Sus scrofa: one gene and its partner. The protein of the gene in region 2 purifies or fractionates together with the protein of the main gene of each other region. This does not show direct contact. Links are inferred from orthologs where the notes say so. Each region holds a gene or a part of one and is shown on either strand. Other genes may lie near its edges.

Evidence for each region.
Region 1: the proteins of WDR92 (region 2) and CCT3 purify together in Homo sapiens (affinity purification with mass spectrometry; 3 studies listed by BioGRID and IntAct, counting the BioPlex papers as one, with this or other methods). This does not show direct contact. The link is inferred for Sus scrofa from reciprocal best matches to the Homo sapiens genes DNAAF10 and CCT3.

Annotation. Positions count from the first base shown.
Region 1 is NC_010446.5:93,732,658-93,736,999, forward strand, and holds the start of CCT3 (T-complex protein 1 subunit gamma), read left to right. Parts: upstream 1-1,309; 5' UTR 1,310-1,434; coding exon 1,435-1,465; intron 1,466-1,653; exon of another isoform or gene 1,654-2,372; intron 2,373-3,531; coding exon 3,532-3,593; intron 3,594-4,342. Other genes in the region: TSACC (TSSK6-activating co-chaperone protein), read right to left, coding at 96-155, 1,053-1,071. UniProt on the Homo sapiens protein: Component of the chaperonin-containing T-complex (TRiC), a molecular chaperone complex that assists the folding of actin, tubulin and other proteins upon ATP hydrolysis.
Region 2 is NC_010445.4:74,091,446-74,095,262, forward strand, and holds part of WDR92 (WD repeat-containing protein 92), read left to right. Parts: intron 1-1,782; coding exon 1,783-1,883; intron 1,884-3,817. UniProt on the Homo sapiens protein: Key assembly factor specifically required for the stability of axonemal dynein heavy chains in cytoplasm.

The DNA of each region.
Region 1 (4,342 bases), on a different chromosome or scaffold from region 2:
TACTAATCAGATTTGTTCGTTTCTGCTGAGCCACGACGGGAACTCCAATCAAAGTCTGGTTTTAAGGGAAAGGAAGCAGGGCCTCTGACACACACCTCTTCTGTTAGTAGGATGACTAGAATGCTGCTCCATCTGAACACCTACAGGTGTGGTGCCTGGGAAAGAATCACAACATCACATGACCAACAACCCATGCTATTATTTTACTATTAACAATTTCATATAAGTTCTCCCCAGCACATATCAGGCTGCTCCAGTTTGGGAAGGAAAAAGTATGAAAGGGTGTGTACTGTTCTATTTTATGGCCAAACATAAGTAACTGTTCTTGAATTGTTCGTGCTCTCATCCTTTCACTAAAAAACAAAACAAAACAAAAAACTGTTTCTAGTAATGTTTCTTTTCTCTGGACAAAACAGTACTTTAACTACGCCCAAACTTTAAGCGTCTCCTAAAAATGTGGGCAAATACTGTGTTCTCCCCTAGTTTTGATTTCTGCGGGATCAGCCCTTTTCCTATCCTGTAAGGTAACTTAAAAACTCTGGTTCTCCAACATCTCTAATGGACCAGTAGCTGAGGGCATGAGGAGGGCAGGGGAAAGAATGGACACGGATAAAGAAAATCTGAGAGCACTAGAGGAAAACACTTGAGAAAATGTTTTACATAGGATAACTCGAGGGGTCGGTAAGCCAGCACTCTCAGGTACCATTCACGGCCTCAATAGATAGTATTTGCCTAAGAGGGAAAGGTCCATGCATAGGAACGAGTCAGAGGCAGTAAACCACAACTCCCAGCGTGCCCAGAAGGCTAGTTACCGCCCAGCTCAGTCTGATCGGACTACAACTCCCATTCCACCCCGCATCAAAGGGGCCAGGTGTTCTCTCAACTGCCGGTTTAGGTCCCGCCCCTTCTAGTCCTCCCCGTAGCCAAAGCTGGAACGAAAGCATGGAAACTGTCAAGTCATTCTCCACCTTGGCGTCCGAAAGGAGTCGAGACGCATGAGTTTAATGACCTCACCTGCGGTGTTAATGGAAAGCCTCTACCCCAGCACCCACCCTTATAGTTGACACACATGCGCAGTGGCGTTCCGGCCAACTACCCGATCCTTGGCGCTTGCGCCAAGGTTCGCGCCGCACGCGGCCGGGAGCGGCCACCCCATTGCGCAAGCGCCTCTGCCCTCTCATTGCCATCACCGTGCTCTCTCTACCTAGCTTGCCCCGCGTTCTTGCGTAGGGGGCGGGGCTAAGAATGTCAATTGGCCTGTTTCCGTGCCGGTCAGTGAGATGGGTGCGGTGATTGGGGGCGCCCGGGAGGGTAGCGGGGTTGGGTGTAAGCCCTGAGGAGGCAGCGTTTTCTGGGCTTCTCGCTGGTTCTCTCTCTCCAGAAGGTTCTGCCGGTTCCCCCTGCTTTGGGTACCCGGCTCTGCATCGCGCCGCCATGATGGGCCATCGTCCGGTGCTCGTGCTTAGTGAGTTTTGGGAAAGCTGGGGAAGGGACCCCCTCTTCATCTCCCTCTTTCGGCACTTTACAGCCTTGCCTCAGCCCAGTCCCGCCCTGGTCCGGCCCCTGAGCCTTCCAGTCGTTCATTTTGGAAGCCCCTTCTGCTTTCCTGTCTACCCTTAACGTATTCCCATGTCTACACAAACGCAAACTGACCTTTCTCTCTCGAGCCTCATTTTTCCGGGCTCTGGCCTCGGGAAGATGCTTCCCACTCGGCATTCTGTTCTTCACCTCCAACCCCCGCCCTTGCAACCTTCTTTGAGTGATTTTCAGTGTGCAGTTTTGTGACTAACGGCTTTTAAGTTTGGCCTAGCATTTTAACCTTGGCCCATCCCTTAGTAGTGGTGTGGCGTCAGCCACGTTGTTTGATTGAAACGTTTCCATCTTTATTATTAGGATTAACTATTTTCCCGTAAGATTGTGACTCAAGTGAGATAAGTAGAGACAATTGCTTAAAAGAGCGAGTGGTAGCCTTGGTTATTTGTATTTTCAGTAATTGTCCTCTTGAATTTCCATTCTGCAACTTCTGTTCCTCAAGTAACCCTACCTTCCTCACTGGTTTATCTTAGATGTAGTTATTCCCTTGATATCCCCTCCGTGGTAATCTTTCCCACTTACCAACTGAGTTTTCCCACATTTTTCCATTGGGTCTCTTTACCTATGGGGAATGAGTCGCATTTCTGTTGTCTTCCTCGGGTATGTTTCTGTTCTGTGTAATCTCAGCCTTATTAGTCATTTTCCGTCCCTCTCTTATGCGTGTAGAATGCTATCGATTTTCTGTATACCTGGAAAATAACTGTTTGCAAACAAGAATCCACTTAACCCAGAAAAAAAAACCAATTTTTTTCTGATGAATCCAATCAGAAAGGTCCATGCAGGATTTTGGTTATCAGTGCCTGAAATAGGAATCTAAATCCTGAGAACTGTGAATGAATGTTTAGGTTTGATGGGTGGGAAATTTTACAACAAACTGTAGGGAAGTATAATTTGGAGAGAGGAGTGAAATAAACATTCTTTTGATTCAGGTATAGCCATTGAGAGGGCCCTAAGGTGAGTAGTGCGTTGTTCAGCTCTTTTGAGGTCGGAGTTAATCCCTTGCATTAGCGGCCCTAACCTATTAGACTTCCTATTAAAACATGTAGGTCACACTTACTGATGGTCAGTGGGTTCCTGAGGCATTCTGGTTATGTCCAAGCATGAAGTGATTGTATCTCGCAAACCCAGATGCTTTTGAGTGTGTGTTCTCATTCCATAGCACACAGGGGAGAAGGGGGGAGGAACTATTTAATAATTACGCTGGGAATGTCAGTATGATTCTGTGTACCCAATTATGAGGACATGAATCCCCCAAGTTTTCCTTTTTACATAAGGGAGTGATTGATGCTTTTTTAGGGTCACCAGGTCTTTAAAAATCTGATGGATCTTAGGTTATGAATCCTTGTTATACATACATGAATATTTGATTAGAGAGAAAGTGATGACTAAGATTCCAAAGTTGAAGCTTTATGAATTGTTTCTTAGTATACCAGGAGTTGAAGTAAAGAAAGAAATAAGTATGTATGTTTACTTATTAACAGCTCGTTGAGGTGCAATTGATATACAAAAAGTTGCACATATTTGAAGAGTATAAGTTGGTAAGCTTTGATCAGTGTATACATCTGGGAAACCAGTATGTGTTTTTGTTTTTTTTTTTTTTTTTTGTTTGCTTCTTAGGGCCAAACCCGCGGCATATAGACGTTCCCAGGCTAGGGGTCCAATCCGAGCTGCAGCTGCTGGCCTAGGCCACAGCCACAGCAATGTGGGATCCAAGCCTCATCTTCGACCTACACCACAGCTCACTGCAACGCCAGATCCTTAACCCACTGAGCAAGGCCAGGGATCGAACCCAAAACCTCATGGTTCCTAGTTGAGTTCATTTCCGCTGCACCACCAGGGAAACTCCTGTTTTTATTTTCAAAGATTGGGAAATAAATGAATAACTTATATACAATGGGGCAGTCCTGGACTATTGCCTTTTGTTTTTATCTGTTTTAGGCCAGAACACAAAGCGTGAATCTGGAAGAAAAGTTCAGTCTGGAAACATCAATGCTGCCAAGGTAGCCTATCTTATAAGTTGTCTGCCTCTAGCTATCTTCCCTGGTGTTTCAGTTTTTGTGATTTGACAGAGGAAAAGTTGACTTCCTTTCCCTCTTGGTGGTAAAGAAAAGGAATCATTTTCTCTCTGAGCTGGGCCTAACGGTCTACTCAAATTAACTTTTGCGAATTCTGTTCCTGTATACTATCTCATAATATTCTATTTGTGTTTATCTCCCATACTAGATGGAATTACTTGGAAGGAAGAACTATATTCACTTTTATATTCCTAATATTTGCTATAGCTCTTGAATAGGTATCTACAGTAAATGCTTTTTGAATGAAACAATGAAATAGCCCTAGATCTAATTTAGCATGAGGTAGAGGCCACTATCATGGAAAGAAATACAAGTACATGGACTTTCAGTTATCTAGATTGCTGGGAAGCTGAAGCACTGGGAGGCGTGTCCCCCCTCCTTTTTTTTCCTTTTTTTTTTTTTAACTTTTTAAAGCCCAGCTCATGGCATATGGAGGTTCCCAGGGTAAGGGTTGAATTGGAGCTACAGCTGCCAGCCTACACCATAGCTCATGGCAACCCCAGATCCCTGACCCACTGAGCGAGGCCAGGGATCAAACCTGCATCCTCCTGGATACTAGTTGGATTCGTTTCCACCTTGCCACAACAGGAACTCCGGCGTGTCCCTTTTTTCTTGTGAAAAGTTATTCCTTTCCATCCAGAAAACATTCCAAAGTGGAAAAAACAACAGAATCG
Region 2 (3,817 bases):
ACAATAAAGCCTCGATAACAGTACATTTGTTTACAACATGTTTTAGTGAATATTTTAAGCCCGCTGTAGAGACCTACTGCTCAGGGGGAAAAAAAAAAAAAAGCCTTTCAAAATATTACTGCTCATTGACAAAGCACCTGGTCGCTCAAGAGCTCTTTTGGAGATGTACATTGTTTTCATGACTGCTAACATAGCATCCATTCTGCAGCCCATGGAGCAAGGAGTAATTTCAACTTTTAAGCAATACATCTTATAAGGCTGTAGCTGCCATAGGTAGTGATTCCTCTGATGGATCTGGACAAAGTCAATTGAAAACCTTCTGGAAAGGATTCTAGATGCTGTTAAGAACATTCATGATTCATGGAAGGAGGTCAAAATATCAACATAAACAGGAGTTCGGAAGAAGTTACTTCTAACCCTCATGAATGAGTTTGAGAGGTTCAGGACTTTAGTGGGGGAAGTAACTACAGTTGTGGAAATAACAAGAGAGCTAGAATTAGAATTGGAGCCTAAAGATGTGACGGAATTGCTGACATCTCATGATAGAACATTAATAAGAAAGTGGTTCTGGGAGTTCCCATTGTAGCCCAGCAGGTTAAGAACCCAGCATTGTCCCTGTGAGAATGTGGGTTCGATTCCTGGCCTCGCTCAGTGTATTAAATATTTGATATTGCCGTAGCTGTGGTGTAGGCCACAGCTGCAGCTCCGATTAGACCTCTTGCCTGGAAACTTATATATGCCACAGGAGCAGCTGTAAAAACAAAAAAAGAAAGTGGTTTCTTGAGATAGAATCTACTCCTGGTGAAGATGCTGTGGGATTGATGAAATGACAGTGAAGGATTTAGATAGAATATTACATAAATTTAGTTGATAAAACAGGGCTAGGGAGGACTGCCTCCAATTTCGAAAGAAGTTCTAATGTGGGTAAAATGCTGCCTGTGTGAGAGTCAGTCAAAATAGCAAACTTCACTATTGCCTTACTTTAAGAAAATTGCTGCAGCCACCCAAGCCTTTAGCAACCACTGCCCTGATCAGTCAGCAGCCATTAACATCAAGGCAAGACCCTCCACCAGCAAAGATATTATGACTTGCTGAAGGTTCAGATAATGGTTAGCATTGTTTAGCCGTACAGTGTTTTTTTAATTAAGGTACGTATTTTTTTTTTTCAGATGTAATGTTGTTGCATGCTTAACAGACTACAGTATAGTGTAAACATAACTGTTACATGCACTGAGAAACTAAAGACTTCCTGTGACTTACTTTATTGCAGTTTGCTTCCTTGTGGTGGTCTGAAACCCAACTTGCAGTATCTCCAAGGTGCCTGAACTTTTATATTATTTTATATATTTATTTTGCCTTTTCTAGGGCCGCTCCCTCGGCATATGGAGGTTCCCAGGCTAGGGGTCTAATCGGAGCTGTAGCCTCTGGCCTATGTTAGGGCTGCAGCAACTCGGGATCCGAGCCGAGTCTGCCACCTACACCACAGCTCACAGCAACGTGGGATCCTTAACCCACTGAGCAAGGCCAGGGATTGAACCCACAACCTCATGGTTCCTAGTCGGATTCGTTAACCACTGTGCCATGACAGGAACTCCCCTGCCTGAACTTTTAAATTGTATAAAAGTGACTAAAGGAAAAGCATGATAATTTTTATCAGACAATGTTTTAATTGCCTTTTTTATTGTGTGCCTATTTAATTCCTGTAATAGAGCCATAAATATCATGGATTATAAATAGCTGCTTACATAAATAATGTATCCTCTCTCCCTCTCTTCTCTCAAGATTGAAAAGGCCAAACCCATTAAATGTGGAACATTTGGTGCAACATCTTTACAGCAGAGATATTTAGCTACTGGGGATTTTGCTGGAAACCTTCATATATGGTAAGATTATTTCATCAGTGTTGAGACATGAGATAAGCAATTTCTTTGATAGTCTAGTTATTCTTCCTCTGAAAGAATTCTAATTTTAAAATGTTTCAAATTTACCAGATTTTAAACTTTAACTGTTTATAAGAATGACAATTACTTTTCAATATCTATTTTTAGATTTCATGTTTAAAATCCATTTTAAGACACTAGCATATTTATCTTTAGATATTTCAAATGATGTTATTAGTATTTATTTCCATCCATGCTATTTAATGCTAGCATTTAATACCCATATTTGTAAATAAAGGGCTATTCCTCTTCAGCATGAAGGATGCAGTATATAAAAATGCTCACATGGGAGTTCCCATCATGGCACAGCAGAAATGAATCTGACTAGGAACCATGAGGACACAGGTTCGATCCCTGGCCTCACTCAGTGGGTTAAGGATCCGGTGTTGTCGTGAGCTATGGTGTAAGTGGCAGCTGCAGCTCTGATTTGACCCCTGGCCTGGGAACCTCCATATGCCGTGGGTGCGGCCCTAAAAAAGGCAAAAAAAAAAAAAAAAAAAAGAAGCTAAAAAAGCTCAAATGTAACACTGAAAAATTAGATATTGTTTACATTTTAAGATGATATTTGGCATTACAGAATGATACACTGTATTTTTGTATGTTTTAATTTTTTCCTCCAATTCATTAAATTTTTTTTCCTTTTTTTTATGTTTTAGCTAACATCTGAGCACAGCTTTTTAGGAACACATCTGTTGAGTAAATCAAGATAAACCTGTTTTGAATGAGCAAAATCACAATTGTGCCAGTTGCTTTTAATTTTCATGTTTTACATAGAGTTATTTCCTCATTTTTAAATGAGTTGAATGAACTGAAATTCCTCTCATTACTTTTGAAGAAAATCTCTTAAATCATTTAAAGTATGCAGTAATTTTTTGGAAGAACTATCTTCCCTACCTTATGTTTTCTATTGTGACCTTTCTTGATTCTAACTTAGAATCTATTACTTTGTAATTAAACTACTTTGACATATTTATCTGTCTTAAAGTCATAGTATAACAAGAATGGAACGATTTTCCTTCCCTATGCTTTAACTACTTAAAAGTTAAGTTAGCATTTATTAGGATGCATTCGTTTTTACCTGTTTGGTCATATACTTTCAAAGAACTTGGGAGAGAGAGCAGTCTGAGTGGTTTGGTTTGTTTTGTTTTGTTTTTGGGTGTGCCCGTGGCATGTGGCAGTTCCTGGACCAGGGATCAAACTCGCACCACAGCAGTGACCCAGGCCACTGCAGGGATGCTGGATTCTTAACTCCGCTGAACCACAGTGGAACTCCTGGGTGTTATTTATTTATTTATTTATTTATTTTGGTTTTTTGGCTTTTCTGGGGCCGCTCCCGCAGCACATGGAGGTTCCCAGGTCAGAGGTCGAATCGAAGCTGTAGCTGCCGGCCTACCCCAGAGGTCAGAGGTTGAATCGAAGCTGTAGCTGCCGGCCTACCCCAGAGCCACAGCAAGGTGGGATCCGAGCCACCTCCGCAACCCACACTACAGCCCACGGCAACTCCGGATCCTCAACCCACTGAGCAAGGGCAGGGACTGAACCCACAACCTCATGGTTCCTAGTTGGAATTCGCTAACCACTGCACCACAACGGGAACTCCCTGGGTGTTATTTTTTAAAATAAATATATTTTAGCACAAGAATATGCAGCAGATATAACTATTGACTCTCTTGCTAATAGAGCTTCCTAGGATAGTGCAGGTATTACTGTCTTACTTTCATTGGTAAGTCATAAGCTCACATGAAAAGAAGTGATGTTTCAAAGTCTGGCACCAAGATCAACATCATCTGTAAACTAGGTTGAACTTCTCAAATTTTGATTTGCAAGATTTTACTAATAAACCTGGGCCTGATAATAAATTGGGATTATATGTCATG